Linked DNA regions of Daphnia pulex. The protein of the gene in region 1 interacts with the protein of each later gene in a biochemical or structural test. Links are inferred from orthologs where the notes say so. Each region holds a gene or a part of one and is shown on either strand. Other genes may lie near its edges.

Region 1 (3,923 bases):
GCAGTGGAAGACGAGACTTCCGTTCAATTGCTGACACTCAGATTTTAGGATTGCATCTTTGAGAAAATTCAGATGGATGCTACAATAGCCATTCTTTTGAACACCGTATACTTGCTGGAGAACTTTCTGTCGTTTCCCGTTTAGGATTGATAATTTCATGCGAAAAGGGTCGACAGCCGTGACGCTCTTGAAGTTAGCGAATCCGGGAGTTGTAAGAAATAGTTGTACAGTTAATGTTGTACCCGCATCAGACAGTACTAGCTTCCACAGACGATCAGGAGTTTCTCTAGCTGAAAATAACGTTGATTCCAGAGGTTCCATCCACGCCGCAACAGTTTCTAGACATGGCACTTGAACATTCCATTCTAAATCAAGTTTTGAAATTTGTAATTCAGAGAGACAGACATTGTCCGCTGACGACTGCATGGCTCAGTACGTAGAAAAATGGCGACTGTTACAAACACGTGTTATTCTCAACAAAGATGAAATGCGAATGCCAGCTCTCACTTGAGTGTTGAGTCACTTCCCACTTCCCAGACCCCAGCATCAGCAAAATTGCAGACTGAAGGGTGAAGGGTAAGGGGCTGAAAACGAATAGAAAACGAAACTTGAAAGGGTGTGAGAAAGAGTGGGAGGGGATAGAATTTCATAGAGCCGAAGAGAACCCGAGGGAATAAAACTTTATGTTGCTAAGAGAAATTGTAATTTGACCAATTGATTGCAACTAAATACCACCGACGAAAGGGATTAACTTTTCAACCATAAAGATTATGTTGTTAATCATTGAATATGGCGTCATCTTTCATAAACCCGTAAAAAAGCCTGAAAACTGAGAAAGCTGTGACTAACCACACACATATAACTTAAGTTTTCTTGACAAATAAAAACGTCCTCCTCTCTATTATGTTTGGTCTCGTTTATTTAATTTGACGAACTCTAGAGAAGAAATTGTGCGATGATTTGTTCAGTTTGTTCTGTTTCGTCTTCGAAAATGGATGTCGTTCAGATGTCGTTCCACAAACGCATGCCGTTCGTCTGCTAGGAGAGTACTCGGTATGTTGTTTGATTTGACTTAATTATTTAATCATCTGAACTGATTAAAAATTAAGCTTTATATCGGTCGTGAATGAGTGTAACTTGACACAGTCTTACTTAAAGGGGTTGTAATCAATTTTAATAGCATAAATCACATTTCAACGGTAAACCCCGTTTCTTTGGAAATTGGAATTTAATAATTTGATTTAATAAGAAACCGTTATAAATAAATAACGCAGTAGTTTAGAATTACCTCGTATATTCATATTTCGATAGGCAATTCAAACTTCGTTCGTGCATCGGTATAATAAGTGTGAGCTTGTTTTAACCGACGCTCACCAGATGTCTCACTCAAGAGCTTGTTTGTTGACTTGCACTTGAGTTCTGTCAGCGGCTGCAGTCAAGAATTTAGCAGTCCCACAAGACAAGTCGAAATGAGTAAACAAACAAAGTTTTCGAATTTCGTGAAAGGTCGCTCACCATCGAATAAAAAAAATGAAAAATTAAATGTGTTTGTGGATCACTTGCAAAATGTAAGGACGGTTAAGACTGTTAAACGTTGTTTAATTTGGATAATGTTGAAGCTAGATGTTGATGAATGTATCACTCTGTTCTTGTAGACTCGGGATTCTAAAGATAAGATACGTGGCCAAACAGGAATTGTTTATGATGAACGGATGGTTGAACACCAGTGTCTTTGGGATCCCAATTACCCTGAATGTCCAGAGAGATTCACTCGGGTTTTGGAAAGGTCAGTTATCAGTTATATACCTAGTCTGAAATTTAAACTGCTTATGGTGAAATAATGGTTAAAAAATCTTGCAGATGCCGTGAATATGGGTTGGCTCAACGCTGTGTAGAAATTCAACCTAGAAAGGCAACTCAAGATGAGCTGTTGAAACTTCACACACCAGACAGAATTGAATTGCTCAAAGGAACAGATGGCAGTCCAGATGCTGAAGCATTAGAAGCTATCAGCTCAGGTTATGATGCCATTTACATTCATCCATCAACAAATGAGCTAGCATTGTTGGCAGCTGGATCAACAGTTGAGATGGTTGATGCCATACTGGATGGAAAGATACAAAATGGAATGGCTGTAATCAGGTAATATACATACTTTGCAAATTTTACTCCTCTCTTTTGTTTCAATTCAAAACTGATTTATTTAGACCGCCAGGGCACCATGCAATGAAAAGTGAATATTGTGGCTATTGTTTCTTCAACAATGTAGCAGTTGCAGCCCAGCATGCATTAGATAACAAGGGTGTTGAAAGAATTCTGATTGTTGATTGGGATGTTCACCATGGCCAGGCAACTCAACAAATGTTCTACGAAGACCCCAGGTAAAAAGGCATCTAGTTTATCACATGCACTGAATCAATTCTATGTGAGGGTTACCTTTATTGAATATTCAGAGTCTTATATTTCTCGGTTCATCGTTATGAGCACGGAGCTTTTTGGCCCAATCTTCGTGAAAGCGATTTTCACTACATTGGAAGTGGAGTTGGCAAAGGCTTTAACGTGAACGTGCCACTGAATAAAACGAAAATGGGTAACGCCGACTATCTGGCCATTTGGCACCAGCTGCTATTGCCTCTGGCTTATGAAGTAATAACTCATCTTGATACCATGTTTCATTTCATCTATTCAAATCGTTCAATGCATATTAATACTATGGTTAAATACGCTTGTAATTTAAAAACGCGCTTCATCTTGTTCAGTTTCAACCAGAGTTGATTATTGTATCAGCCGGCTATGACGCTGCCTTGGGTTGTTTCGAGGTAGTGTACAAGACTTCCTACTTATTCTTTTTGTTTTTCTTCTTTTCTTGTGATTTGCATGGCAATAGTTCCGCCCTGATCTTGTTCTCGTCTCCTCTGGTTTCGATTCGGCACTAGGCGACGAGAAGGTCCAACATTTGTTCTCTTCTTATTTTATATTCTACCTTTTTCTGAAGGAATTGTGAAGATATGCGGTGACTAATATTGTCAACGCCTTTTGTCAAATTTAGGGCGAAATGGAAATCACTCCCGCGTGCTACTCCCACTTGACGTCATCACTCATGGGGCTGGCCCAAGGCAAACTGGCTGTCGTTCTCGAAGTATAATCCGCTGACTCATCTATTACTCTGACCAAACCCTAGTGCTGGTCATTAATTATGTGTTTATTTTTAGGGAGGGTACTGCTTGAAATCCTTAGCCGAAGGAGCTGCTCTGACCTTGCGAACATTGCTTGGTGATCCTTGCCCAGTCATTGCAAAAGTCGAAGAGCCTTGTCAAAGGTAAAACGATTTCTTTTGACGAATATAATGCGGGCTGCATCATTTCTCTTATTGTAGTATTCAGGAAAGTATTTTGAGCGCTATTTATGTGCTTCGCCCTATGTGGAAATGTCTACAGTTCCAGGGCCGTTTTGATGCTTCAAAAGTGGGTAGTCAAAAGGAAGGAAAGCACTTTGTACCCAGTGTCACTTTTGAAGGATCTGACGTCAAACAAACATTGTTTGCCACTCGAAACTGCTACCCAGTGCAGAGCAATGAGACGATTGACCTCTTGGATCAGCGCCTTGATAAGCTCATTAAAGGTGACATGAATGATTACAAATTTTAAATAACAATTTAATTAACTGTAATTGTTTATTATTTTAGAAACGAGCTTGGCAGTGCCTAAGCATCGCGTTTGTTTCATCTACGATGAAAGAATGGCTTTGCATCGTAATATCAACGAACCGTAAGTTGAATTTTAAATTGTTTCGAGTTCTTTGTTATTTTTATGGAATTGTTTGACGATATCTTTTGCAGTGGACATCCGGAGCGACCTGCTAGAATCACTTCAATCTACCAGAAATTGATGGAATTCGGAGTGTTGGAGCGCTGCCACCGGCTG
Region 2 (3,923 bases), on another chromosome or scaffold:
TTTTCTGCTTTCTGCCACTTTTTTTTCCGAAGCAAAATATTTTCAATAAGTCCCCCCCCCCCCACCAAATACCGTGCCATAGGCCTACCCGGAGTTTCTTTTTATCTTATACAAATGAAATAAAATAATAAATAAACCATATGTTATTACTGTATTCTAACAAATTTTTTACAAATTCAATGACTAAACCATGTAGGCACTCCTTGTTTAGAAATATTAATGCTTGTTTTCTGGGCATACAATTCTTTTGTCTGTTTCATAGTATTAGTTTGCTCATCATAAATGTCAGTACTGCCATGAATTTCTGGGAAGACAAATTTGTGGTCTTTGTGCTAAAAAACAAACAAAACAAAATGGTTACAGTTGAAGAAACATTAAACAAGATAAGTTTTCAAATTACCAGAGTTACAAAGGCTATTTTTTCATCATTTTCCTTAGTGACATAAGTGTTGGGTAAAGTTTTTGTTTTCCCTTTAAAGAAAATTATTCTAAGTGTTAGTAAAACATCACTTATTTTAACCTCAATAATGTTGTCGTACCCATTTGGTTGTAGGTGCTGACATGAACAACAGGGAGGTTGTAAATTTTTTCAAGATATTGTTTAACATCAAGCTTGGTCATTTGTGATGAGACAACAAACTGAACTTGATTAGGTAGCAAATTGTGGCTCGGTTTGACAAGCTTCATCCAAAAGTCAGGTAGGAACACCCGTAATTTAGGACTACCGCTTTTGAAAGCTGGATATCTACATTTTTAGATTTTTTAATCGTAACTAATTATAAATTTTGAGTGAACCCAATTAAGCTTTGAAATTCTTGACTTACATTCTCGTCGACATTTTCTCAGGATGTTTGAAGCCTCAACACAATCAGTTTGATGATTTCTTGTTTACTGTTTTCGTCTGCATTGACTGCATGGTGCATGCTTGAATCTTTATGCTGCGCCAAATCATATTTCAAACTTTTCATTAATGATATTTACACTTTTATACTCATAGAAACAATTTAAATTTTTTTTTTAATTATTATTAGTAGATTTTATGACGAAATAAAAATAAGTTTTTAAAATTCATTTCCGAATGGCATTGTTGCAAGATAAACTATCCGGATTGTTTAACTTCTTATCAAATAGAAAGGGCGTGTGACTCAACTTTTAGCCGGTTTAAATTAGTATTATATCTATTTATTAAAGAATTTGTACGTCAGAGAGATCATTAATTATCACAAATAATTTTAAATTAAAATTTATTTTTCTCTCTAGATTGTAATAACATGTGGAAATCAGCAGTTGGTTCCAGCATCAAGGCTCCTGTTGTCAACCAAGATGACGATGAATGGGATACCGATCCCAATTATATTAACAACGTAACAGAAGAAGAACAACGATGGGGTGGGGGAAGAACTGCGGGTGCTATTGAGTGAGCATAAATGTTTTCTTCAAGACATTGTGTATTTACGTTAACGGTTTCTGTCAATGTTTACAGTATGAATGCTCTACGAGAGCAAACGACTAAAGAAGATCTGGAGCTCAAGAAAAAGGTAATGGCTGCAGGACCTCAAGCATCTTATGGATATGGTGGAAAATTTGGTGTACAAGGAGATCGGTATGTTTTTCTTAGAAAACTAAAATGTGAATTTCATCAACTTTTGTTTTTGTTTCTTCAGTATGGATAAAAGTGCAGTCGGGCATGAACATATCGAAAAAGTTGAAAAACATGCTTCTCAAAAAGATTACACCACTGGTTTTGGTGGGAAATATGGCATTCAAAAGGACAGGTAAGAACAGGATTCATTTTTTGTACATCTTTCCAATTTCTTACTATTATTGTTTATTAAGGATGGATAAGTCTGCAGTGGGGCATGACTATGTAGCCAAGGTTGAAAAACATGGCAGTCAAACAGATGCTGCCAAAGGGTTTGGCGGCAAGTTTGGAGTTCAAACTGATCGAGTTGATAAGGTATTTCATTAAAATATGCGCATTATTGTTTTATTTCAGTTACTTTACAGTTATGCCCACTATTTTCTCACGTTTTATTTGGATCGGTTAAATAGAGTGCTGTTGGTTGGGATTATCAGGAGAAGTTGGTAAAGCATGAAAGTCAAACAGATGGTTCCAAAGGTTTTGGTGGGAAATTCGGCGTACAAACCGACCGCATCGACAAAGTAACAAATTCTATAACTGTTTGAACAAAGGAATTTTTTCTATTGAAGTGCAATTTTTAGAGTGCAGTTGGCTGGGATTATCAAGAAAAAGTGGAGAAACATGAAAGTCAGGTGGATGGAAATAAAGGTTTTGGTGGTAAATTTGGTGTCCAGGCTGATCGAGTCGATAAAGTATAACCTACCAATGCAATGTTATTGTAATCCAACTAATTTCTTAATTTATCTTTTGTGACAGAGTGCTGTTGGTTATGATTACCAAGAAAAAGTAGAGAAACATGAGAGCCAAGTAGATGGTTCAAAAGGTTTCGGAGGAAAATTTGGTGTTCAAACAGATAGACAAGATGCAGCGGCCGTCGGTTTTGATGAAGAACAAGGTCATGTTGGTACTACTTACGAGAAGGATAAGCCAGTTATTGCGGGTAACAATAAAAATTTCCGTTAAGTTTTTCTTGGTTTGAATTTATTAAACTCATTTGGTTCCATAGAGAAAGGTAAAGCGTCTTTGCTGAAATCCCGTTTTGAAAATTTTGCTGAAGAAAACAAGAAAGCAGCCATGGTAAACGTTTGATAGTTTCTTATTACAAACAAATGTATTACATCATTTTTCATTTCTTTAGGTTGTTCCTCCTCCACCGAAGAATCCCCGCCCAATGGCTAAGATAGCACACAAATTCGAAACACAGTCGACGCCTCAAACAGAGCCACCCATTAAACAAATCCCCCAAACAGAAAAACCTGTCCGACAAAACCAATTCCTCCCAGCCAAGTCGCCTGTTATACCAGAGCCAGTCATCCGAGAAAGTCCTGTGATTTCTCCAGTTCCAGAACCTGCTAGGTCGCCTTCACCTCCACCGACTGTCGTTCCACCTGTTCCGGCACAAACTCAACAACATATCGCGCAATCCCTTGAACGATGGAACGATGATCTGGCCGAAGCTGTCGAAGAAGTGGATGATGGAGCGTGGAGGGAGCAAGTGGATGAGCAGGATGACGCCTGGAAAGACGAAGAAGAGATAGGCTACGTCCAAGAGAATTCGAATTTAGAAACAGTTGCGGAAGAAACTGGATCCGGTCTTATTGCAGTCGCCCTCTACGATTACCAAGCTGCTGCAGAAGACGAGCTCTCCTTTGACCCGGATGAAGTCATTGTCAACATCGAAATGGTAATGTTTATTAATTTATAAAATGTGTTTAGTTTCTAACCAACTCTTTTGCTGTGCAGATCGATGAAGGTTGGTGGCGAGGGGAGTGTAGAGGACAGATAGGATTATTTCCCGCTAATTACGTCCAACTGCAACAGTGAAACCCTATCCAGTTTTTTTCGTCTTCCAGGTTTTATCCAACAATCCAAGGTTCTTTTTTATTCCCAATTGTTAAGCATTCTTTCCAAGAATTTTCCTTATCTCGTAAGCCAACCATATGGCGGTTCTTTTTACGCGTGGCGTTATATTCGTGTATTGTTGTCCAGTCAGTATTCACAACGCGGTGAAGAAAAACATTACTTATTACAGATTAGTTGATTTGATGAAAATGTGTGACGGAAAAACATCGTTCTTGCCTATTATTGTGGAAAGAGAATTGCAAGTTATCCCTTATCTGCATTTAATTAAGAACCAATAATTAGATGTTGTTTGCCGACTCAAATCACAATGCTTTGTTATGATTATTGTGCCGAGATCCAACCGACCAATCTATCTTATGCAGCCTGTTGATTCATTGGAAGAGTTTTCATGTCCATACTCACCGACTGCAAACAAAAG

The links.
Region 2: the proteins of histone deacetylase 6-like (region 1) and src substrate cortactin-like form a complex in vitro, tested with the Homo sapiens proteins (3 studies listed by BioGRID and IntAct, with this or other methods). The link is inferred for Daphnia pulex from reciprocal best matches to the Homo sapiens genes HDAC6 and CTTN.

Annotation. Positions count from the first base shown.
Region 1 is NC_060025.1:1,310,983-1,314,905, forward strand, and holds the start of histone deacetylase 6-like, read left to right. Parts: upstream 1-1,386; 5' UTR 1,387-1,469; coding exon 1,470-1,568; intron 1,569-1,655; coding exon 1,656-1,786; intron 1,787-1,860; coding exon 1,861-2,142; intron 2,143-2,207; coding exon 2,208-2,381; intron 2,382-2,453; coding exon 2,454-2,646; intron 2,647-2,759; coding exon of another isoform or gene 2,760-2,819; intron 2,820-2,887; coding exon 2,888-2,947; intron 2,948-3,049; coding exon 3,050-3,139; intron 3,140-3,212; coding exon 3,213-3,319; intron 3,320-3,376; coding exon 3,377-3,621; intron 3,622-3,685; coding exon 3,686-3,767; intron 3,768-3,838; coding exon 3,839-3,923. Other genes in the region: speckle-type POZ protein-like, read right to left, coding at 1-426.
Region 2 is NC_060023.1:10,192,932-10,196,854, forward strand, and holds the start of src substrate cortactin-like, read left to right. Parts: upstream 1-1,075; 5' UTR 1,076-1,196; intron 1,197-1,260; 5' UTR 1,261-1,271; coding exon 1,272-1,417; intron 1,418-1,483; coding exon 1,484-1,603; intron 1,604-1,664; coding exon 1,665-1,775; intron 1,776-1,836; coding exon 1,837-1,957; intron 1,958-2,052; coding exon 2,053-2,163; intron 2,164-2,223; coding exon 2,224-2,334; intron 2,335-2,398; coding exon 2,399-2,582; intron 2,583-2,648; coding exon 2,649-2,719; intron 2,720-2,780; coding exon 2,781-3,326; intron 3,327-3,385; coding exon 3,386-3,466; 3' UTR 3,467-3,923. Other genes in the region: 39S ribosomal protein L23, mitochondrial-like, read right to left, coding at 177-332, 401-471, 540-745, 825-838.